Daphnia pulex: one gene and its partners. The protein of the gene in region 3 purifies or fractionates together with the protein of the main gene of each other region. This does not show direct contact. Links are inferred from orthologs where the notes say so. Each region holds a gene or a part of one and is shown on either strand. Other genes may lie near its edges. The genes, in order: zinc finger CCCH-type with G patch domain-containing protein-like, probable RNA methyltransferase Y17G7B.18, U4/U6 small nuclear ribonucleoprotein Prp4-like, squamous cell carcinoma antigen recognized by T-cells 3-like and serine/threonine-protein kinase prp4-like.

Region 1 (4,410 bases), on a different chromosome or scaffold from region 3:
GCTACGACCAAGTATGAAGAGTGAAGTATTGTTGTTTCCGGCTACTTTTAGCCGTTCACCTTTACTTTGAGTCTTTGTTGTTCGTTCCATTCCAGCAAGATCGACAAAGGACATCATGTGGATGGCAGCTTCACTTGGCTCGTCGCAATGGTTTGTTCGAAATAACTTAACCGTAAAGATGCAATGAGATCGACTGGAATTGTAGTTCAACTTGGTAGCAGCAAAGTGTAAGTTCTCTTTTCCAAAAAGCAAAACTCGGACAGCTTCATCAGCAGAAGGGACGCAAATCTCTTTAAGGCCTAGAAAACAATAAATTATTTAAAAAAATTTTGATTCACACAATATTAAATAGCACACGTTACCTTTACCAAAGAATTTCTTCTTGCAATCATCAGTAATACGCAAGGCTACTCATTTCTTCTTTTTGTCACATCCATCCAGTAGATCAAAGGCTTGTTCATTATAAATTTTGCAGTACGATACCCAAACTGAAAAATAATCTTGAGGGTGTTGAAGAGGGCAAACTGTCTCTTCTCAAGCTTGAATATTCCAATCATCCAATGATCCAAAAGGAACCGAGGAAATGCTGTCCTTAGTTTTAGAGTTGAAATGAAATCCATTCATCAAAATTGCCCTGAAAATAACAGTACGTAGGTTAAAAATTTCAAATTATTTCAAATAAACTATTTTTAAAAACTTTGCAAAAGGAGAAAATACTACCTCTCCAACTCTTCTGCTTCAATTTGGTTATGATTCAGTTTCATGACTTCATTAAGAACGAGTGGCTTTAGGGCAGGATTCTTAAGTAGTCTATCTTTCAGGCTGTTGAATACAACATCCAAAGAACGAGGAATTAAACCTGCATCTTCGACATTGCCCAGCAGCATAGTGTAGGTTTTGCCTGCACTGTTGGCTCCGTAAGTGAAAAGCAGTGCATTCTTGCCCATCAAGAAATCTAGTGGACGGCTGGAGTCTGGACGCACTGCATTCGAGCACCGTCAGATGGATCTCCTATCAACTATTTGAAAGTTCACGTAAGAATAAAGCCATTAGACGAGAAAATCAAAAACAGCACTTAATCGATCAACGGAAATCACATTATTGTAAGAGCACAAAAAACTTCTGCGTCATTCAAGACTAGACACCACTCTGGAAAGAACACTTTACCGAAATTAAAATTCAACAAAATTGATGACTCATCAGTGAAACAGGAACATCTTTTCAAAGACTCTGCAAGATTAATTTTGTACAAGATTTCTTGATGGACAAGAATGCACTACTTTTCACTTACAGAGCCAACAGTGCAGGCAAAACCTACACTATGCTGGGCAATGTCGAAGATGCAGGTTTGGTCGAGTCTATTGCACCGTCGGGCTGACGGTGCTCGAACTCCAGACTCCAGCCGATCACTCGCGATTTTTTTCATTTGGCCTTCGACGTTGCCAGATATGGCCAATTACGGCCAAATTTTTGTTCAAAATAGCCAAAAATTTAGCTAAAATCATAAAAAATCGAAATCACTCATTAGCAAAAATCTAATCTAACTTTAGATTAACAGATTATGCTCTCGTCACATTTTCATTGCTTTGCAACGCTGCTAGCAGACTACCGTAGTATTTATAAACAAAACATCAAAACCTTTTCAATTCTCGACAAAGCTCGATGTCTTTCTCGCTACAGTTTTGAAGTTGACCGTTATCCTTTTAATATGTCAGAAAGCGTGCAATCACTACAGGATTCACTTGAAATATACCAAAATCAGGTAGACACGATTTTAATTTTCTAAAGAATCGCAATTTTTAAGTTGTTTTTATTCAAACGAAGTTGAAACAAATACAAGATGCATTGTTGATCGCGAATGAAGAACAAAAACCGGACTTGCAGCAAATTGTAAAAGATTTAGAAGAAATCATATTGCTTACTGAAACAAGTCTATCAAGTGCACCGGTCCAGGAAGATAATGATACCTCATCAGCAAACAGCCAAAATGAATCATACTTGGATGTTAGTTTTGGTTGACAATAAGTGGCATAATTTCAATGAATCAGCTGAAATGTTTGGTTTTATTTTTATATTCTAGGAAGAACTTTCAGCATTAGAGGGGATGAAATGTAAAGCTCCGTTTAAATATGAATGGGGTGGAGTTGGATACCACAGTGCTATTATCATTGGTTCTGAGTTAGGCGAGGATGATTTAGTTTATGTGAAAGCTGTTTTCATGCACCCCACTACTAAAAAAATGCAGCCATGTCCATATTTTTTAGAAGGAAATTGTAAATATCCAGATGAAAAGTGTCATTATTCCCATGGCTACACTGTCCGATTGGATGAAGTGCAAGATTTCAGGTGTGTATCTCATCAAATCTAAATCTAAAAGTAATTATTTTTTCTCACTTCAAAACAGTGATCCAGACTATAGCAAAATCACTGAGGGCTGCACAGTATTAGCAAAGTATAAAGATGAACTGTGGTACAGAGGAATTGTTGAAGACATCATCAAAGGAACAGAGTTTTCCGTCAAATTCCAACATTGCAATGATGTACTGTTACTCAATTTGCATGCTGTCTATCCTCTAGGTAAAGGTTACAATATTTATGGCCATAGAATTATTTCAAAATTATTTCGATTTCATCAGATGAAGACGACGAAGATTCGTCCTCTGAATCCAGTGAGGATGAAGACGACGACGACTCTCAATTTACTCCGAGATGCCTAGAAGAACATAACGTAGGAGCTGCTAAAGAAACTGGCTCGTTTGGATTCTGGGAAAAACATACTAGAGGAATTGGATCTAGACTAATGGAGAAAATGGGGTATGTCCATGGTTCTGGATTGGGAAAGGAAGGAGAAGGTAGAATCAATCCAGTAGAAGCCATGGTTTTCCCGCCGGGTCGATCACTGGGTAAGTGGCATCAGTAGATATCTTTTTCTTTTAAATTTTAATTGGTCTCTTTGTTGGTTTTTAAAAAGATCGTTGTATGGAATTGAGAGAAGAAGCCGGAAGTGGGAATATGCTTTCGGTGGAAAAGAAACTTGAACGCCAAAAAGCCAAAGCCCAGCATCGATTGCGTCAAATAGCCAACGCATCCGAACGTGGATCAGTTTTCGATTTCATCAATTCCAAGCTTACAAAAACCAGTGGACAGGATTCCAAAGGAGGTAAGAGTACCAATAACTCATCCGTTAGCAGCCCTTAGCAATCTTTATTGTTTATTTGATTGGACAGACGGGGCTTCGCATTCACGAACAAAAGTGTCTGACTTGGGGCAGCTAACTCGTGAAAAGCTGAACGTTCAAAGCCTCCAGATCGGAGAAGAAATTCGCAGAGCTGAGCGTGACATCATTAAAATGAAACAATCTCTTCAACGTCAGAGTGATCGTGGTGACCTTGCATCCGTTTCGCAAATCAGATCGAGACTGGCCGAGAAAGAAAAAGATTTAGATCGACTTCGAGCTTCTGATCGTCACATAGTGAACGAGCAAAAGCAAAGAAAGAGCTCTTCTAAATTGACCGTTTTCTAAACTGACCTTTTCCGTAATACTTCCAATAAAGATAACCGTGTAACAACTAATAATCTAAACTTCGTTTCAACTAATCACAATGATCCATAAAAATGCGATATGAATTTTGTAATCAGAAAGTAAGAAACAATAAGAGTTTCCAAACAAGAAGGTAATAACAATTATAACAACAGTTCATTTCAATGGTGGGTTAGCGGGCAGTTAAATTAATAGAATCCGTTGAAGAATGGGTAAGGTTGAGGGTAGTAACCAGTAAATCCAGGGTAAGGAGTGACGAATCGGGCAGGAGCGATGGGAGCAACTGGGGCAGTGTAAACGGCGTTGTCGGGCTGGCCGTCCTGGTTCAGGTCAACGCTTTTGTAACGGAAATCGTTGAGGAATTCAGCTGGGTTGTGGGGAAGGACGGCAACTTGACGTTTGCTGCGGGTGGACTTGACCTCAGCGGCGGGAGCAGCGGCAGCCTGGACGAAGGGGTAGGTGAAAGGAGCGCCGTAAGTGTAGGGGAATCCAGCGCGGTAGTTCAGACCGGCGTAGGGGTAGTAGTTGGGCAAGAGAGCGGGGGCTGCGGTGTAGACTGGGACATCGGGTTGGCCGTCCTTGTTCAAGTCAACGCTCTTCGACAACAAGTCATTGGTAAACTGAGGATTGTATGGGGACCATTGGCTGTAATATGGGGCAACCCATTGGGCGGAGGCGCAAGCCAAGAAGAAGCTGATGATCTATTGATTAAATTGAATTGATTGTTAATGGTAGAGAATGAAAATATATTAAAAAGAATTGGATAGAGACAAAAGAACTTACCAAGAATTTCATATTGGGATAATGCTTGTAGTGGACAGACGTTGCAGTGAACAAGTGAAGAATTTGGAATTGGGTTCTTCTTTTAT
Region 2 (4,564 bases), on a different chromosome or scaffold from region 3:
ATTAACTGGGCATTTACCGAATAAAAAATGCGAAAACTTTGCACCTTTTTTTGGTTGACTAAAAAATGCTAATGTCTTACATCGTCAGAATACCGTATCATTTTTACCTGGCTACTGTATTTTTTTTTCCTGCTGCACTATTGGCTCATCCGAAACCATTCGAGATGATCCAATGGTAGATGGCCAAGAAATTTGGGAAATTTAATAAGGGAAATTTGAATTGATTAAGACAAAATTAATTGACAAAATTTACAGCGATTAATTATTTTCACATATTGTACTATGTTAATTACCTATGGAAAATTTAAAGCAATAGACAGGAACAAAGCTGAAATCAAACTGGAGATGATTACAAAAATGTTCGTTGTGTCTTTGCAGGTTAGAAATGTGGATAGGACAAAATCTTCCCTTCCCTTAGGCTGCCGAGGGGGGGGGGGAGCAGATACGTAAACGTGTTTCTAATTCTGAGTTTATAGAGAACGCCTCGCCTATAACAGAGAATGACATTAAAAGAAAGAAGAAAAAAGGTAGAATAAAAACAGGGCCTTATTTGAAAATTCGAAAACAAAAGAAATATATAGGGAAAAAACTCGATGCGTATCGTTTTGAGCGTCAAAGTAACGTCGTTTGTATCTGTCAGGATACTTTCTCTATTTAGATCTATCGAGATAGGCAAGCCAGCAGCCATAGCGTTGGAGTCTTCTTCCCTCTTCGAGTTGATGTGCGCACATTTACAGTATAAGAATCTCGACTGCGGTCAAGAAAAGGAAATGGAAAACTGTGAAGAGTTTTATTAGTTTTACTACACAAATTATTGCATTTATGCCTTATAATCAGCATATACTACGTATTCTATCAGCACAAAGTGACTGCAAGAATCTGTGGCTGAATAAGGCTGTTTAATGAAACCATTTTTGGTGACAAACACATCCAACGGTTGCAGCAGCATAAATAAGTTGGCAATAACTTGTCTCGTATTGAATGCTTTTGTGTCTCGTTCGTCTCGTTTGTCCATCTCCAATTACGGAATCAAAGATCAACACTGTTTTGTTTTTGTTTTTTAAATTTTTGGATGAGCGTGATTTCTGGTTGGAAGCAATATCCAACCCGGAGGCAACGCGTTGCTTGCACTGATTGAACGACTGCAAAATGATCGTCGCTTTGAAAAAAATTTCGCTTTGAAAAAATGTTCCCAATGGTTTCAATTAATTTGATTTAATAGCTAACACTCTGAATTACTTGTTAAATATCGCAATAAACTTGATAACAAAACTAGAGATTTGGAATTTTAAAAAATAATAAATAAAATCTATCAGATAGAATAGAGACACGCGTGTCTCTATTAGCGGTACTGACAGTAGCTTATTCTAGAAATGAGTTCGTTGCCTCCGCTGGTGTTCTGGTAAACTCATAACACTTGAAGGAACAGAAAGGAAATGAGTTATTATCATCAGATGGAGTTCGAAGAGGAAAATAGTTAAGGGTGTTAAATAGCAAGAGCATTGGCATTTTTTTAGCTGCGAACCTGGGAATAAATAATATGTTTCAAACGGAAAAACTCGACTAAAATTAAGTAAAATCAGTGGAAATGAGACGGGCAAATAGATAAAATTGGTAATGTGATTCTGCATCGAACACGATATCAGATTCAGATGCACTGTGTTACATATCATTGACCTCAATTTTTTATGTTATAAGATGACCATTTTAATCATGTATGTCTCAACATTTGAGCATGTGAATTTATTCTTGTTTCGTCTACGCTCGACGGTAGCCTACTGCTTTTTCTCCATGAAGCCAATTCCATGTCACTATCATATCCTAAATATCATTTCAAGATATAGGGTCTACCAAACCGTAAGTACATAAGCAAAGATTTTGTAGGGTGAAAGCTAATTTCATTATGTGCTTCAAATTTGCAACCTTTTCCCGCTGGCGCTAGTTATAAGTTAACATATAGCCTGTGGCGCTATCAATGCTCACAAAGAATTACCGCATTATAAAGATTAACTAATTAATTATAACACTGAGAAATTTTAGGTTAAATATTGAAAGGGAGAATCAAGAGATAAATAATCAAGAGAATGATTTTAAACATCTACAGTTAACATTGTTTAGCTATTACTATAAGGGTGAAGCCAGTATGCCGAACGCCGAAATAGGGGGAAGAGAATGGGTAGATAGATGTCGTGTACGTGGTGTGATTGTGTGACGTATATTCGTAATATGTGTATAACAAACACGCAGGCAGTCGACAAGTTGTGGCATTTTACTTCATGAGCCACGCCATCTATTGATTTCTTATATTCCCTTTTAGATCCCTATCGGCCTCTCCCTACTCCGACCAGATTTTCAGATTGCTATAATTAATTTCTGTCGAGGAAGAATTATAAGATCTATGACCAACTGATAGATGCAATCAGTGACCAATTTAACTCAGCCCACGAACAAATGTGACAAACCTATTTGATGTAAGACTTGTGCGTACATTGGCAAATATGAAATTCAAATTTATTTTGATGTGAAACTTACTTGACACGGTAGCCAAAGTAGGTGGTAAGAACCATCACGGCAGAATTATTTCAATTCATAATAGGATAAAGCAAATCATGCAACAATGCACAACGGTGCTGCGGTGTTATGTACGCTCATGCTTGCGGCTTTCTACAACAATTAACAAACATGAACATAATCAAATTATCAAAAAAGATCAGCAATTCAATAAAGCAATTTTTATTTGGAATTAAGTTGTGAGATAACTTTTAGAGGAATGGAAAGATGTTACGTGTATACCTGTCCTACGAATGCGACAAGAGACGATTCTTTTATTCGTGCCGCATTAATCCTCTTGCTGAGCTGCTGCAAATTGCACCTTTATACTTAAAACTAAAAATTTCGCCATCTATACGAAAACGATGGAGTGATCATAGTATCATACACCGAAACTAGATGGCGTGGAACGAAACGTTAACAAAACGTTTTTATTGAGTACCTGAATGGCTGAATCGAATTCTGGAAAATTTAGATCTCCAATATATGATTGGATTATATATGATTACGAATCACATGATGGCAAGATTATTTACATTCTTAATAAACTTGGATAACTCGTTTTTACATTCTTAAGTCTTAACAGATGCATGCGTAATTATTAGTAATTGCATACGTAGGAGATGTCACTTTCTCCCTGCATGACAGAAACAGAAATTTAGTAAAAATTTTGAATTCGATTATAGGAAGTACACCTAGAAATGTTACAGTAACCTAACCGAGTTTATAAGATACAACAAAATATATTGAGTAGTAACAGATTCACAATTTAACACATAATTAAGTCAAATAGGAGGAAATAAAATCATTCATCATGTTCGTCGACATGGCTTGAAATTGAAGTATTTTTAAATTGCACTATAATATGGATTAAATTTTTTTTAATGTCTTACAACTTTATGAAGTTTTAACGAATAGTTTTTTACGTTATCCGTCACTTTTAGTTTTTGATGTACATAATAAATGCACGTCTAATTTTTATCTATTACTAAGCTATAGAATTTTTCAATAATATTGGATTTCCATAAGCGCATAACCTGACTGCAATTAATTCTCGATCAACCGCAAATTCAGTTTCTCTTAAACTAGGTACACATGTAATGCTCAGTGCTTTTTTTTGCCAATTGTGCAACGCTGCTATGAGAGAGGGGATGTATTTATTACTGGGGTATGGGGACTGAACGCAAAGAAAGGAGCAGAAGCATCAGAACGTCGAATAGACAAGGTTGCTCAGGATACACCTTGTCCAGAAATTGGAACACAAATCATCACTTTTGCCAACTCAATTTTAATTCTAGGTAATAACTCATCCTTTCCAATTGTATTGGAGCCAAAAAAGTAGGTTATAGTTAATTTTCTTTGTTTATAAAATACGTTTATGATGTGAGGTTTCTGGCGTGACCGCTAGATGCTGCACAGCGTGTGGATTTATTTAAATTTGAAAATTATTTAGAATTTGCATTAAAAACTTCTAAAATTGCAATGTTTTAGTGTGTCAATGTTTAAGCAGAGAGATGTGTGTATTGTAAAGCTGTTTTCTTTTTACAGATTGCTGAAGCAAATTTAATGAAACATCATGGCATCAACCCAAGTAGTCTCTCTCAGTATTGGACAAATGAAGCGGGTGCATTTTCCTGCAGAAGGGGATGACAGACCTGTAGAAGCTATTCCACATTTTGTCAGTCCCAAAAAAATGGTGAAACCAGTAACAGGCAGTCAGCGCAAAAGAAGTCTCAGTCTTTCATTTGAAAGCAAGCAACATCACTTCAAGAGAAGACGCAAGGAAGAATTTGTGAGACCAACAAAATTTCTACTTGGAGGCAATAGTCGAGACCCGTTGAACTTGGGCAGTCTAGCAGATGAAAGAATCAACAAAGCTTTGAATGAGCATACCCCAGAATCCTCTCCGTTACCAACCCCTAAACACAGGAAGGAAGAAATTGAAGTATTAATTCCATCAAATATAAGGGATCCTTTAAACCTGAGTATGCCAGATGATAATTTAGCGGAAAGA
Region 3 (4,285 bases):
AAAACCCCAACAATGATTTCAAATTTACCTTTGGTGTCTGAAGAATTACGCCAAATGCTGAAAATGTGTCATACTAAAAAAGCAATAATAGATTAAATTGTGTTTTGAACCTAAAGGAATGCTGATTGGTTACCAAAAGTTTTTCATCAACTTCAGGATCTAAGTTTCCAATGAAAATATTTGCTCCAACATCTAAGTTTTTCTGGTGTGCTGATGCTTTGTTTACCCGAATGGGTTTACCATACAGCTTTATCATGTTCATAATTTTACATGCGTAGTCAGCATCATCTTCACTGAGGAATTCTATGAATCCGTATCCTTGATGCAGTAAAGTAATCCGATCTTTAGGCATATGCACATTTACTACAGGACCACCTTGAACGAACAACTCCCACAGCAAGGGCTCCGTAACTTTTTCGTCTAACCCACCAACATAAATGGTAGCATCTGAAAATGATAAAAATTTCACATAGTCATTTCATTTTAGTGCATAATAAACTTAAATTTCTTACCTTGATTTCTTTCTGAAACAGGTCCAGCAGCCATGCTGAAAGTAACCAAATAGTTTCCACCTGAAATTTGCAAACTTCCAAAATATAAAATGCTTGTTTGAGTGTGTCTGCCTTGTATTATTGAAGGCCGGTCAAGCGATCAGTTTTCCTATGCCAGTGCTTTTGACTAACCAAGCTCCAACTAGATGACGCCCGGAGCTAAAGACCGGCCCACACACTCAATAGCGGCAAGGGCGGAAGGATCCGACAGGTTTTCAAATCTTAGTCTGTGTGGTGTCTTGTGTCTCTTTGCAAATTGCCAAATTCCAATAAATAATGCCGTGTTTAAGCATGTATAATTATATCCGGAAATCCTACGAAATACTAAGAATATAAAATTTCTGTATCTAAAGCGTTAATAGAATACATCCTTTATTCCTTTCCCTCTCATACAGATCTTTATTAAGAACAATTCTTTGTAGTTATTATACAGTTTTCTAAAATTAGATGCATAAAATGGATAACCAAATTTTGAACTGACAATCTGATATTTCAAACATCATTTTTGGTTATGTCCCTATACTAGGCCTAGTATACTCCCTAATGTTTCCGTACACCAAATTGGCCTGTTACACAGTCTGTTACACAGTCTGCTGCATGTGTAATCGATCGCATATCAGGCATTTTATGCTATTAACAACTGTATGCTGAGCTGAACCTCAATTTTATAGGTTGCAACAAAATCATTTTTGGAAAAAAATCCCAGATGGGCATGTGCTGCACTATGAGTGCGAATAATTTTTTTCTAATCGAAATCACAAATTGGTAATATAAACCGAAGATTCAGTATTCAGGTATTATTCAGACTGGCTGTTTTGTATATTAGGTAGTGTAATAAATCACACATCATAATTTAAAATTTCTTTTGCGAGCGGCAGTTTATTATCCGAAGAATGAGTACATGGAACATAGTTTTCCAGTTTTCCACCAGTGGCTCTGTATGCTGCACATGATTTTTTCATACCGTAAGTCGCTTTTCGTTTGGGAGTCGTCTGGCTTGTAAAAGTCTATTTAAGATTTAAGAACGATCGTATTGACAACAAAAACGTGACAAAACGAGGTGTCGGTGTCTATAATATTTAAACATTGAGATCAAAACAGGAAAAGTTCAATTAGAAAACACATTTCTTTAAACATGTCGTCCACAACCGGTTTCGCTATCACAATTGACGATGGGGAAATTCGGAAACATCTTAGGCAATTAGGTGAACCAATAACCCTTTTTGGTGAAGGACCTGCTGATCGCCGAAATAGATTAAAAGAGTTACTCTCGGTTCATGGACATGATTTGATCGATAGAAAAAAAGAAGATGAAAAAGAAATTGTGAAGGTTGAGAAAGATCAAACTGAAACCACTTGGTATCATGAAGGTCCTGAATCACTCAAAATTGCTCGTTTGTGGTTAGCATATTATTCCCTCCCCAGAGCAAAACAAAGGTTATCTAATGTGAAACTTGAATCTGAAATACCAGAATCAACAAGAACAGCCAAAAGGTCTGAAATATGCTCTGTTATGAAAGCACATCCCAATTAATATATTTTTTCTTTTCCAGGCAGGAAATGGTGAAACGGATGAGAGGTATGAACATCATGTGCAGCCAAGTTGGTGATGGAAGACCAATATCATATTGCCAATTCAGCCCAAGTGGAAATTTGTTGGCCACTGCCTCCTGGTATTAAATATTCTGAGATTGTAAGAGAGTTAATCAGATAATAAAAAACAATTCATGTTTTAGGAGTGGCCTGTGTAAATTGTGGAATGTACCTGACTGCACTTTGTCTCATTCATTGAGAGGCCACAAGTGTAGTGTTGGAGCAATAGTCTTCCATCCACAAGCCACCTTGAGCTTAGAACCTTCAGAATTAAATATGGCTTCATGTTCCATGGACGGCGCAGTCAAATTGTGGAATTTAGAAAGTGAAGAGCCGATTGCTGATATGGAAGGACATGCTCCGCATCGAGTGTCAAAAGTTGAATTTCATCCTTCTGGAAGATTTTTAGCTACATGTGTTTTTGATAATTCCTGGAGGCTATGGGATCTAGAACAGGGTGTAGAAGTTCTTCATCAAGAAGGGCATTCCAAACCTGTATACAACATAGCATTCAATGTTGATGGTTCAGTGGCTATCACAGGGTACCAACACCTAAAAATATGTTAACATAATATTTTAATTACATGTGGAATTTTTTCTAGTGGCATGGACTCTTTTGGTCGAGTATGGGACCTCAGAACTGGGCGCTGCATCATGTTTATGGAAGGTCATTTAAAAGGTGTCTTGGGCATCGATATATCACCTAATGGCTACCACATAGTAACTGGAAGTGAAGACAATACCTGTAAAATATGGGATTTACGTAAGAGATCCTGTATCTATACTATTCCTGCACACACAAATTTAGTGTCGAGCGTGAAATTCGAAAGAAGTTCCGGACAGTATATTGTCTCATCTTCATATGACTGTACCGCAAAGGTATGAATAATCATTAATAGATTTTCTTTCTGCATTCTTTAAATGTTACATTTGTCATCTATATATATTTGAAATAATTTTCTGCCCTAGATATGGGCGAGTAACACTTGGCAACCATTGAAAACCCTTTCGGGACATGACGGAAAAGTAAATTTTTTAATCAGATACGTTTGTGATGTGTTTCTCAATTTTTTTATTTTATTGTTACAGGTTATGGCAGTTGATGTATCGCCTGACGGGTCGTTCATCGCCACAGCCTCGTACGATCGCACTTACAAGCTTTGGTCCCCTGAATAAATGTAGAAGTATAGAGTGCAGCTTCGAAGACGACCATGCTTGTTTGATTTCTTTATTTGTGTATTGGACTTCGAAAACATTAATAAATTAAATACAAAAAAGTTGAAGCCTATTGGTTGGGAAGATTGGGTGGAGTATTAAAAACTTACTTTCCCTCGTACTTTGTAAAATCCGAATTGACTGTAGTTGTGTACTAATGCTGGAAGCCCTAAATACGAATTCATTATAATTGGCTTGTATTCAACTAAACCCTGGTACTCGTTTTGCAAAGTTCGCTGTAGGTTGACTGTAAAATCTTTAACGTCGAATATAGCAGGAGTCGTGTGTTCAGCTAAAATTCATAGGTAAAAATAAGAGTTAACATCCATCGAATAATGATTAACAGAATTGCAATCTTTTTACTTGAAAGTAGTGGATGCGATAAAAACGTTAACCAGGGAATTGCCTTGCTCCATGGATTCCATAACTGGGTAAAATTGGGTTCTGCCGGCACGGACCCAAACAAAATTCGGACGCCGTTTCTTTTCAATCTAATTCCAAAGCAAGAACTTTCTTGAAAACTTTTGTTCGACATTTCTACATTATAACGTATCAATGTGTCATGTCTGATTTAGTTATGTTACCTGTCGGAAGTGAAGTCAGTTTGAGTTTCTTCACCTGTTGAACGTTTATGTAATAGCTCCGATGCCGATTGACTATTAAAGTTACCTCGTAGAATAGACGAGAATCGTCCTGTTATAGAATCTGCGAGGTATTGGAATTTCCTAAAGTATATTCATATAAAAATACGACAAAAGCTAAATTAATTTTCAATCATCCGATATAAGTAGACACTAAAATCTTATCTCATTTTTACACAGAGAAACATTTACTTGCAATCCACATGATTGTGACAAATTTCAGTTGATTGGTAACCAATGCCCATCAATCTGAAGAAAAAAAAAATTTGAACGGAAAAAACTTAC
Region 4 (4,645 bases), on a different chromosome or scaffold from region 3:
AACATTAGCATGTGTGACACTTTCAAAATATCTCTGAGACATTATTGCACTTTAAGAATATTTTAAAACTAAGTTTGAATTTTGAAAATGGTAAATATAATATTTTTAAGGAGTAAATATTACCGCCAGCACTTTGTTTACTTCAAAACTGTTGTTATTGTATTGTATCGTGAGCTTCAGCCACCAGACGGCGTCGTACAAAAATACGCAACCGCAATTATGCATAACGATTGACTTTTTAAATTATTAATTATCAGAAAATCTTTATCATATCTTATCAGCCCACAGAACTCAATAGCAAATGCAATCAATTTAAGTTATTCAAAATAATATATAGGGGTAGTGCACATACCAAATATCGAAAATAACATGCTTACTTGAGACGGATATTGGTGCAATAGGCCAAAAGGAGAATTGCAATAAAAATTTTACAGTTATGGTTGATCATCTTTACTAGAAGTTAAAGTCAATTGGCGATGTTATCTGACGGCTCGTTTAGATGAAGTTGGCACTGTGACAACGAACCAAGGAGGCCATCAAGTGAAGAAATGTGCCTCCTTAAATGTCTCTTTAAAGTAATGCGCGAGGTAAACAATTTTCCACAGATGCTACAAGTCAGCTGCTCGGAATGATGAATTCCAAGATGACTTCTTAACTCTGTTTTTGCATTAAATGTCTCTTTACAAATAGAGCACTTGAGGGCTTTTACTGCAACAGCAGATTTTGAATTATTAGATGATTCTGCCGTAAAGAAAATAGACAAATTTGTGATCACTATACAGACTGGTAATACAATTTTATTTTTGTACCTGGAATTGGCTCTAAAATAATCTTCTTTTCAGTGTGTGTAGAGCACTGGGAGATTTGCCTTTTCCTTTTAGAATTGATTTCTGAAGAAACTGTGTTTTTGGTCAAATTTTCATTTGAATCATCTGTTTTTGTGGGAAGAGATTCTTGAACATTTTCATAAATTATTTGAAGATCTTCATCTTCATTTGAGCTTGAATCAGAATCACATTCAATTTCATGCGACTGCAGCTTTTGCAGCTGTTCCTCAACCTTTCTCTTTTCTAATATTTCCACTTGGAATTGTTCTTTCCCATGTAATTTTACAAGACCTTTGACTTGAAGTTCTTTGGCATATGTGGACACTGTCACCAAGTCGACTGATGATCCTTCAGCAATCCCATTGTAAAGGTAATTAACCAAGCAGACCATAGGTTTATAACTATTGAATGGTAAAAGATAAAAATGGTTATTTTTTAATAAGTTTCAAATGGGAATGACTATTACCTGAATCCTTCAAGGAAAATGACAGGCTCAACATGGGAATCACAACCCAATAGCAACTGGCTAAACAAAGGGCTAAGCGAAGCGAGAACAGAACGATTAACCAAAATTTTTTTTCCTTCACAAATTAAAGTTACATCTGCGTGACATTGATTTTTATACATGGCCAACAAATTCCGAGTCCACAGATCGTCCAGAGATTTAAAATTCGTCTTGTTTTCCATTTCTTTGTTTAAGAGTCAACCAAGTCTAAAAATCACTGGAAATATATTTCTTCAACTCTTTAAAAAAGCTAAATAAAGTATATTTCGAATTTCGTTGAGCGATCGTCTTGGATGTGTTGTTTTCAACAGTCAATCAAATCAATTAATGTTAAGCAGAATAGCAGATGTGATTCATGTGAAGATTTAAGTCTTCTGCTTGATAGTTCATTCATCTGCCGCTAGGCTGTGCGTGCCGAATACGAACAACATCGATGTAATGTTGTGTTGTCTTTGAAATTAACCCAACAACCCCAAAACTCGATCTCGAATTATTAAAGAATTATACAGTACAAGTGCTTCTATTTATACACATACACAAAAAGAGCTTCATGATGGATGTCCAGCAAGGTTTTGCTGAGGAAGATGAGACTGAAGAAATGAGTTTTGAAGGCAATGACAACCCTAATGGGTCAGGCAGCTCTGATTCTGATGATTCAGAAAAAGAAAGGGAAGAGCATTATGTTCTCGAGAGAAGAATTGTTGAACTAAGAAAAGAAGTAAGTGTTTTCCCATGTTTGTGAATTTTTTGGTTCAATTTTTAAAAAAATTGTATGTTTTTAGCTCGCAAAATCTCCAAATGCCTACAACACACATGTTGAACTGATTAGTTCTCTACAAAAACTTGGGGAACTAGATCAGTTGAGATATGCCAGAGAATCTATGCATGCCATTTATCCTCTGACTGAAGGTAAGATTTAATAAACAATTTAGATAATTTTTTTTTTACATTCCTTATTCTCTTATTTAGAACTATGGCTTGACTGGCTAAGAGATGAAATTAAACTTGGATTAACAGATGAAGACAAAAAGAAAATTGAATTGCTGTTTCAAAGGGCAACAGAGGACTACTTAAGTATATAAAAATATAAATTTTCAACTTTTCAAAATATAAATATTATCATTTTCAGATATTGATATTTGGGTGGAATACATCCAATTTTGTCTTGCTGGAATGGATATTGGAGGTGTTGAAGCATTGAAAAAAATTAGAGCAGTTATGGAAGAAGCCATTCGACATGGAGGACTTCATGTTGTAAAGGGGGCTTTGCTGTGGGATTCTTATCGCGATTTTGAAATGGCGATATATCAAACAACTAAAGGTGGAAGTGAAACTGAGAAGACCAGTCAAGCCCAAAAAATCACGCATTTGTTCAACCGTCAACTCTCCGTTCCCTTGCTGGATATGGTAAATTTCTTAAATATCGTAGATTTGTTCTTCTTACTGAAGTCTTATTTTCAGGAGCGAACTTGGACAGAATACAATGAGTGGCTTCAGATTTTGGATCAGAAAATTGAACCACATGTCAAAGCCACTTATGACAAAGCAAAGGGACAAATGGAAAAGATAGCACCCATAGAAGACACCCTGATAATCGCTGTTGAAAACGACCACAAGGTTGCAGCTTACCGTACGTATTTGGATCTCGAGATGAATGAATTTAAAGATCCTGCTCGCATTCAAGCACTTTTCGAGCGTATTGTTGCCGAGATGCCGCTGTATGACTCATTCTGGAACGATTATTGCAAGTTCGTCGATCATCAATTCAAAGCCGCAGAAACCACTTTTGCCATTTTTAAACGAGCAATCCGCAACTGTCCGTGGAACGGACCCATCTGGTCTGAGTACATCTTGGCTGCCGAGCGCTACAAAAAAGAGGATGGATTCATTGCAGGTAGATAAATAGCGAATTATAATAACCATTCATATTGTTTTTTACGTTAATAATTCAAGGGTTTACTCAACAGGTTTAGTAGAGAAGGCTTTCAATGCGGGACTAGCAACAGCGGCCGATTTGCTGTCCGTCTGGATGAGTTTCATTGAATACCTTGTACGAAAATGCACATGGGGTGACAGTGACAATGAGAACATCGTTCAACTTCGTGAAGCTTTTACACGAGCGACCGAACATTTAGATCAAAGTAAGTTTTTCTAAGACCAATGAAATCGCCAATATAAAAACTATAACTTTTTTGTTTTGTAGCTTATGATGTCGAAGGAGACCCGGAGTGTACACTGCTACAATATTGGGCATATTTCGAAGCAAAAAAGCTGAATAATATGCCTAAAGCTCGAGACCTCTGGAGCAAGATTATAAGCCGGGGACACAGTAAATCTGCTCAGTGGTGGCTGGCTCGTGTTCAGTTTGAAAGGTTATTGATCTAATTAGTTAATTCTATTAGAGTTATATTAACACAATGCTTATTATAACAGAACACACGATAACAATAAAGAAGAAGTCCGCAAATTATTTACGAAGAGTCTAAATGGAGTCTCTTCGTCCGATTGGCCAGAGTTGATCGTTAAGCAATGGCTGCAATTTGAACGCGAAGAAGGAGACTTACAAACCATGGATATCGCTAAACAGAGGTCTGAAAAATAATTTAAAGCTTTTGAAAATTTTGATTTTAATTGTTTAAATATGCCAGGTGTGAAGCTCGGATGAAGAAGGTTAATAAAGAAAGAGAGGGGCAAACGGTTCAAGAAGTAGAAACGGCTAAAGGTAGGAAACGAGGAAAGATTGAAGATGCGAAAGAATCGAAACCCGTGCCTGCCAAAAAACCTAAAATAAGCCATGATGCCGCAGCAACTAGTACGAAAGTTGTTCCCAAAAAGAAAGTTGAACCTAAAGTAAACGCCACCGAACCTGCTAGCAAGCCCGTTGTCATTCCTAAACCGGTTACCGATCCTTCCCGTCATGCCAATACGGTCTTTTTAAGCAATCTGGCCTACGAAACATCTGAACAAGATGTACGCAACATGATGAGTTCTTCCGGCACCATAACGGACATACGTCTTGTTCTGGACTACAAACAACGTTGCAAAGGATTTTGTTTTGTCGAATTTTCTTCACAAGTAAACTTCCATAATTAAATTTCCTACGCTTGTCCGTTAAATTCATTTAAAACTATCTTAGGATGAAGCGAGAGCAGTTCTGAAGCGGGACCGTGAGCTCATGAAAGGACGACCGGTTTTCATGTCTCCAAGCGAACCGGACGCAGCATTGAAGCATCCAGCTTTCAAGTACCAGTCAACATTAGAAAAGAAAAAACTGTTTATCAAAGGTACGTATTTGCGATCTTTAGGTACGAGC
Region 5 (4,586 bases), on a different chromosome or scaffold from region 3:
AGCTGCGAAAGATCTGGTAGACTGGAAACGTGAGAACGCAATTCTTCGCGAACTTGGTATACTTTGGATAATTTCTCTTTATACTCCTGAAAAAGGTATAAATTAATTTAGTTTATTATGTTATCAATGCCAAACTAAATTAAAAAAACAAAGATGTGTGTTAGGTCACATCCCCTACCTGAAGTCTTTCTTCAGCTTGAACTAAAAGTTCTTTCTGTGCTGCCGTGAAATCATGCAGCATTTTAGTTACCGTTTTTCGATCCTCCATCTCCTTCAACAATCGGCCATTGTAGTCATTAAGTAACTCAACTGCTTCGTTTACTTTACCAGTTAACATTTCTGCTTGAGCTTGATCTGAATAAAAATAGATTTTGGCATTGCCACACACGAAATTTCTTGGAAGAATTACCTGAGATTTTTGAAAGCAAACTGACATCTGATACTTCAGGAGGCAATTCAGTAATTTTTTTCCTGACAATACCATCACTTGATGCTGCATTTTCAAGGGTCTGAAGTGCTTTAACAAGTTCTTCAGGTTCTGGAGCATCATTAGCAGGTAGTTTTGGAGACAAAGTTATGTGGACTTCTTTCTTTCCTTCCTTATCAAACTGTATCACTTCATTACATTCTGATTTTCTTCGTTCTTTCTTAGTTTTATCAGGATCTTCTTGCTCTTTGTTTTCTTTGACATTTTCTAACATTTCGCGGCTCTCACCCCTATCTCTTCTTGATATTTTGACAGGGGGTTCTCCATTGTCAAATCTTCTCTTGAGACATGATTCTGCATGAAGGTATCATTTAAAATTACGTAATGAAAATTATTTCTATAGCTTATACCTAATGATTTTCTGAATTCAGCAATCTGTTTGGAATCAAACATGTTTCTGTCTCCCCAAATATTGAGAATTCGTTCTAGTCTTTTCTGAGTGTTTTCATCATTGACAGCTTGACCCATCAATTTAAGGGCTGGAGCAAGAATTGGACCAAAGTGATCTCTAAATTCTGGACCTTTCTTTCTGCTGTTCTGGATGACATCGTTGACGAGATAGATGAAAGTGAGTTTTCGACTGTCCTTGGCTAAGAAATAGAAATGCTGGAATTTAATTGGAAATGTGGATTTAGGAATTTTTTTACTACCTTTCGTGAATTCCTTTAACCAAATTTTGACGATACTAGCATGGTGTTTACGGTGGTGGATTAACCACAAAGACAATGTTTGAATACTTTGTTGAGAGTTGTTTAGTTCGGCTAATTTTTTCTCTAGTGCGGCATCAGAAAATCCTGACATTTTGTAGATTAATCTCCATAGATTAAGTTTCGTCTATTACGTTAACCGCAAACTCAGTCCCTAAGATTTGTGAGTCAGTCTTCTCTTCTTCTAGAATCTCGATTAGGTAAAGTAGCAGACAAAAATGCACGAAATTTTTTGTCTGTATTTCATGAGAACCATCCTCTTTTTCCGAATTTTGATTTAGTTTATAATAAAAAAAAAGAACAACAGTCATAAATTTATTTCGTTTTATTCTATATTTCATGTTTAAAATTAAAATGTAATAAAAAATCACCCAGTTAATAGAAATATAAGGACTAAATTAAAACAAATGCTTTCTATGTTTAAATTGGAAAATAATTTACAAGTGTTTGACAACCCTGCTGTTCGCTAGTTTGTTAGTCTGTCAAAATTTGTCGAAATTTGTCGACAAAATCATCACTGTGTTGGTATTCAATAGGTTGTTGTGTATTATTTAGATCAACGCGTGCAATTCCTTTAGTTCCAAAATACAGCAATATGAGGTAAGCTTATGGTATTCATATTCACATGATCATAAACTAAATTAGTTTGAATTCTTTTTAAGCACACCGGAGTTGAGCGACGTCGACATGCTGGTAGCCAAGAATGAAAATGAAGGAAAAGAAGAAGACGAAACCAAAAGCAAGCACAAAAAAACTAAATTAAAGAAGACTCACAAACACAAGAAAAAAGATGAAAAGCCAAAGTAAGTTTCCAAGTTTCAAAAAATTCAAACTTTTCCCGTGTATGTATTATAGATATACAAATCACATAAATTATGATATTGTTTTGTGTTGACGAAATGAATGTTGCAATCCCAATTTTCTACCTTTCAGGAAAAAGAAACGTAAACAGAAGAGGGATCAAAGTTCAGATGAATCTGAAAATGATGAACAAAAAAGGAAGAAAAAGAAAAAGATAAAAAAGGGAGAATCTGATGTGGAAACTGAACCTGCAAAAGCAAGGAAAACTCTGAAAAATGGAGTGGAAAATGGAAAATCTCAAGAAATTACCCTTGTAGATTTGGAAGAAGAATTGAATCTGGAAGAACTGATGAAACAAAAGGTTTTTCATCTCATAACATTATTTTGTAAGCATTAACAATATTGAACTTTTTTTTACAGGAGCTGCTGCAAGCTAGACTTGGTGCTTACGATTCTTCTTGCTCTGACACCGAAACCAAAACGATCGAAGTAAAAACTACTGAAAAACTACGAGACAAATTGAAAGAAATCGAAGTTTTAACCGAAACGCGAAATAAGGAATCTCGCTTAATTCGGGATAAAGAACGGATAAGAGAAAGGGAGTCAGAGCAAGAACGCAGTAGAGAAAAAGAACGAGAACCTGGACGGGACCGTGAAAGAGAAAAAGGAAAAGAACGAGATCGAGAAAAAGAAAGAGATCCTGGACGAGAAAGGGATAGAGAAAAGGAGAAAGAAAGAGAAAAAGAACGAGAAAAGAGAGAACAGCGAGATCGACAACGTGAGCGCGAGGAAAGAGAAAGGAAAGATCAACGTGAACGAGAGGAAAGAGAAAGAAGGGAAAGAGTCGAGCGCGAAAGAAGAGACCGATCTAAAGAGAGACGAGATAGAAGAGACAGAGATATGCGGTCGAAGCGCGAGAGAGAAGACCGAGATCGAAGAATGCGTGATCGTGACAGAGGTCGTGAACCAGACAGACGAGATCGCCAAACTAGAGAAAATGAACAAGATCGTGAAAGAGATCGTAATAGAGACTGGAACAGAGATAGGCCGAGAAGAGATGATCACAGAGATCGGCCAGGTAAAGAAGATCAAAGGCGTTCTACGAAGAATGGAGAATCTAGCAAGCCAAACGAGTCATCATCGGAAGATGTGTAAGAAATTTGATTAGCGTTTATGTAGATTTTTCAGCTGTTAATTGTTCCTAATTTCTGTTGCGTATTTATTAGTCCACTGGATATTGAATTTGAGGATGAAGAAGAAGACGAGGATAAGATTATTGAGCAACGCCGTAAACAGAGGGAGGAGTTGCTTAAGGTAATGCAAATTCTGAATATTTTAAACAAAGCACCTATTGGCAGTTAACATTTTTTTCTACCTACATTTATCACAGAAACTGGGAGCTCCTTCAGAAGACTCCAGCCAGTCTTGGAATGTAGAGGGCTACGTATCTGGAACATCGTCACCTTTCAAAGAAGTGCTAAACGAAGGCGGAGAAGATTCTATGATGAGCACTCCTAACATGTCGTTTGATTCTCCTATCATCGTGACAAAAAGCAGCTTTAGTGATGTGGATAGGCAGAAAGATTCTATCACTGGTGAACCATCTGGAAAAACTGACAGTCAAACGGATACCAGGGAAGCGAAGCTTGAGGAAGAGAAGCGTGCTAAAAAGAGAGACATGTTCGCTCCGGAAGCTGATATGTTTGCGGAAGAGTACAGTGTGAGTTTCTATTTCATTATTTTTTTTCTAGTGTGCCCATATTCAATCCAGTCTACTCACAAGTAATTTCAGTTAGTGCCGAATATTACTTGCGTATCTTCGTAATTTATTTTATGAGCCTACTATTTTGTTAGAAAAATGTTTAAGCTGATGGCATTGAGATTATCGTAGATCAATAGAAGAAGCCGTGTCCGACTGCTCCTTTGGCGACGTCGTTGAAAGCAACACTTCGGCATCTTAGCTTCCTCTTGTATGAGCACACTGATGCACCATTTGTCATTCGAAGTCATGTTTGAACAATTTTAATAGCAGTTGGAAACCATTTTCTATGTACATTTAACAGAGTCCTGCTACCGCTATGGAACAAATGAAACGCGTGTCAGACAACCCTAATCTAACTGACAACTGGGACGACGCCGAAGGTTATTACAGAGTTTGCATAGGAGAGACTTTGGATGGGCGATACTCTGTATATGGTTACACGGGCCAAGGTGTATTTTCGAATGTAATTCGTGCAAGAGATCAACTTCGAGCTGGCCAAGAAGTGGCAATCAAGATTATTCGCAACAATGAGATCATGTGAGTGTTCATCAGTTGCGTATATTCCCAAGGAAGTATCCAGTTGTCAATGCACATAGTTTTCATTGAGTTTTATGCATGCTTATCAGTTCGCCTTTATAGCTGTTCTTGATTTACAGTGGATGAACCGATCGGGCAGCCCAATCAGTTGGGTATTAATCTGTTTGGATCGAACTGTTTACGTAATGCTGTGAACTATGTGCCTTGTCATCAACGGGCTTTCGCCGGATATCTTTTCCCTTATGATGGCGAGAGATGATGCCAATTTTTTTAAGTGGACACAAATTTAAAG

Evidence for each region.
Region 1: the proteins of U4/U6 small nuclear ribonucleoprotein Prp4-like (region 3) and zinc finger CCCH-type with G patch domain-containing protein-like purify together in Homo sapiens (affinity purification with mass spectrometry; 4 studies listed by BioGRID and IntAct, counting the BioPlex papers as one, with this or other methods). This does not show direct contact. The link is inferred for Daphnia pulex from reciprocal best matches to the Homo sapiens genes PRPF4 and ZGPAT.
Region 2: the proteins of U4/U6 small nuclear ribonucleoprotein Prp4-like (region 3) and probable RNA methyltransferase Y17G7B.18 purify together in Homo sapiens (affinity purification with mass spectrometry; 4 studies listed by BioGRID and IntAct, with this or other methods). This does not show direct contact. The link is inferred for Daphnia pulex from reciprocal best matches to the Homo sapiens genes PRPF4 and MEPCE.
Region 4: the proteins of U4/U6 small nuclear ribonucleoprotein Prp4-like (region 3) and squamous cell carcinoma antigen recognized by T-cells 3-like purify together in Homo sapiens (affinity purification with mass spectrometry; 5 studies listed by BioGRID and IntAct, counting the BioPlex papers as one, with this or other methods). This does not show direct contact. The link is inferred for Daphnia pulex from reciprocal best matches to the Homo sapiens genes PRPF4 and SART3.
Region 5: the proteins of U4/U6 small nuclear ribonucleoprotein Prp4-like (region 3) and serine/threonine-protein kinase prp4-like purify together in Homo sapiens (affinity purification with mass spectrometry; 3 studies listed by BioGRID and IntAct, with this or other methods). This does not show direct contact. The link is inferred for Daphnia pulex from reciprocal best matches to the Homo sapiens genes PRPF4 and PRP4K.

What each region holds. Positions count from the first base shown.
Region 1 is NC_060017.1:8,204,290-8,208,699, forward strand, and holds zinc finger CCCH-type with G patch domain-containing protein-like, read left to right. Parts: upstream 1-1,534; 5' UTR 1,535-1,561; coding exon 1,562-1,762; intron 1,763-1,824; coding exon 1,825-2,004; intron 2,005-2,080; coding exon 2,081-2,346; intron 2,347-2,404; coding exon 2,405-2,577; intron 2,578-2,636; coding exon 2,637-2,903; intron 2,904-2,971; coding exon 2,972-3,160; intron 3,161-3,227; coding exon 3,228-3,523; 3' UTR 3,524-3,729; downstream 3,730-4,410. Other genes in the region: uncharacterized protein LOC124193369, read right to left, coding at 3,730-4,242, 4,325-4,410. UniProt on the Homo sapiens protein: Transcription repressor that specifically binds the 5'-GGAG[GA]A[GA]A-3' consensus sequence. Represses transcription by recruiting the chromatin multiprotein complex NuRD to target promoters.
Region 2 is NC_060021.1:10,083,835-10,088,398, forward strand, and holds the start of probable RNA methyltransferase Y17G7B.18, read left to right. Parts: upstream 1-1,750; 5' UTR 1,751-1,857; intron 1,858-3,568; exon of another isoform or gene 3,569-3,639; 5' UTR 3,640-3,848; exon of another isoform or gene 3,849-3,888; intron 3,889-4,098; 5' UTR 4,099-4,126; coding exon 4,127-4,564. UniProt on the Homo sapiens protein: S-adenosyl-L-methionine-dependent methyltransferase that adds a methylphosphate cap at the 5'-end of 7SK snRNA (7SK RNA), leading to stabilize it.
Region 3 is NC_060018.1:6,530,637-6,534,921, forward strand, and holds U4/U6 small nuclear ribonucleoprotein Prp4-like, read left to right. Parts: upstream 1-1,546; 5' UTR 1,547-1,686; coding exon 1,687-2,045; intron 2,046-2,104; coding exon 2,105-2,224; intron 2,225-2,287; coding exon 2,288-2,686; intron 2,687-2,746; coding exon 2,747-3,023; intron 3,024-3,113; coding exon 3,114-3,170; intron 3,171-3,233; coding exon 3,234-3,320; 3' UTR 3,321-3,432; downstream 3,433-4,285. Other genes in the region: splicing factor 3B subunit 4-like, read right to left, coding at 29-73, 134-447, 513-546; tumor protein p63-regulated gene 1-like protein, read right to left, coding at 3,458-3,651, 3,723-3,850, 3,944-4,084. UniProt on the Homo sapiens protein: Plays a role in pre-mRNA splicing as component of the U4/U6-U5 tri-snRNP complex that is involved in spliceosome assembly, and as component of the precatalytic spliceosome (spliceosome B complex).
Region 4 is NC_060026.1:14,703,131-14,707,775, reverse strand, and holds the start of squamous cell carcinoma antigen recognized by T-cells 3-like, read left to right. Parts: upstream 1-1,720; 5' UTR 1,721-1,882; coding exon 1,883-2,050; intron 2,051-2,114; coding exon 2,115-2,241; intron 2,242-2,301; coding exon 2,302-2,406; intron 2,407-2,461; coding exon 2,462-2,739; intron 2,740-2,793; coding exon 2,794-3,226; intron 3,227-3,299; coding exon 3,300-3,473; intron 3,474-3,535; coding exon 3,536-3,704; intron 3,705-3,765; coding exon 3,766-3,921; intron 3,922-3,980; coding exon 3,981-4,407; intron 4,408-4,468; coding exon 4,469-4,616; intron 4,617-4,645. Other genes in the region: putative methyltransferase DDB_G0268948, read right to left, coding at 1-42; zinc finger and BTB domain-containing protein 18-like, read right to left, coding at 467-741, 810-1,228, 1,294-1,514. UniProt on the Homo sapiens protein: U6 snRNP-binding protein that functions as a recycling factor of the splicing machinery. Promotes the initial reassembly of U4 and U6 snRNPs following their ejection from the spliceosome during its maturation.
Region 5 is NC_060020.1:7,005,062-7,009,647, forward strand, and holds the start of serine/threonine-protein kinase prp4-like, read left to right. Parts: upstream 1-1,633; 5' UTR 1,634-1,789; coding exon 1,790-1,794; intron 1,795-1,856; coding exon 1,857-1,997; intron 1,998-2,127; coding exon 2,128-2,356; intron 2,357-2,415; coding exon 2,416-3,146; intron 3,147-3,221; coding exon 3,222-3,309; intron 3,310-3,385; coding exon 3,386-3,715; intron 3,716-4,058; coding exon 4,059-4,294; intron 4,295-4,586. Other genes in the region: regulation of nuclear pre-mRNA domain-containing protein 1B-like, read right to left, coding at 1-86, 179-354, 410-781, 838-1,077, 1,138-1,288. UniProt on the Homo sapiens protein: Serine/threonine kinase involved in spliceosomal assembly as well as mitosis and signaling regulation. Connects chromatin mediated regulation of transcription and pre-mRNA splicing.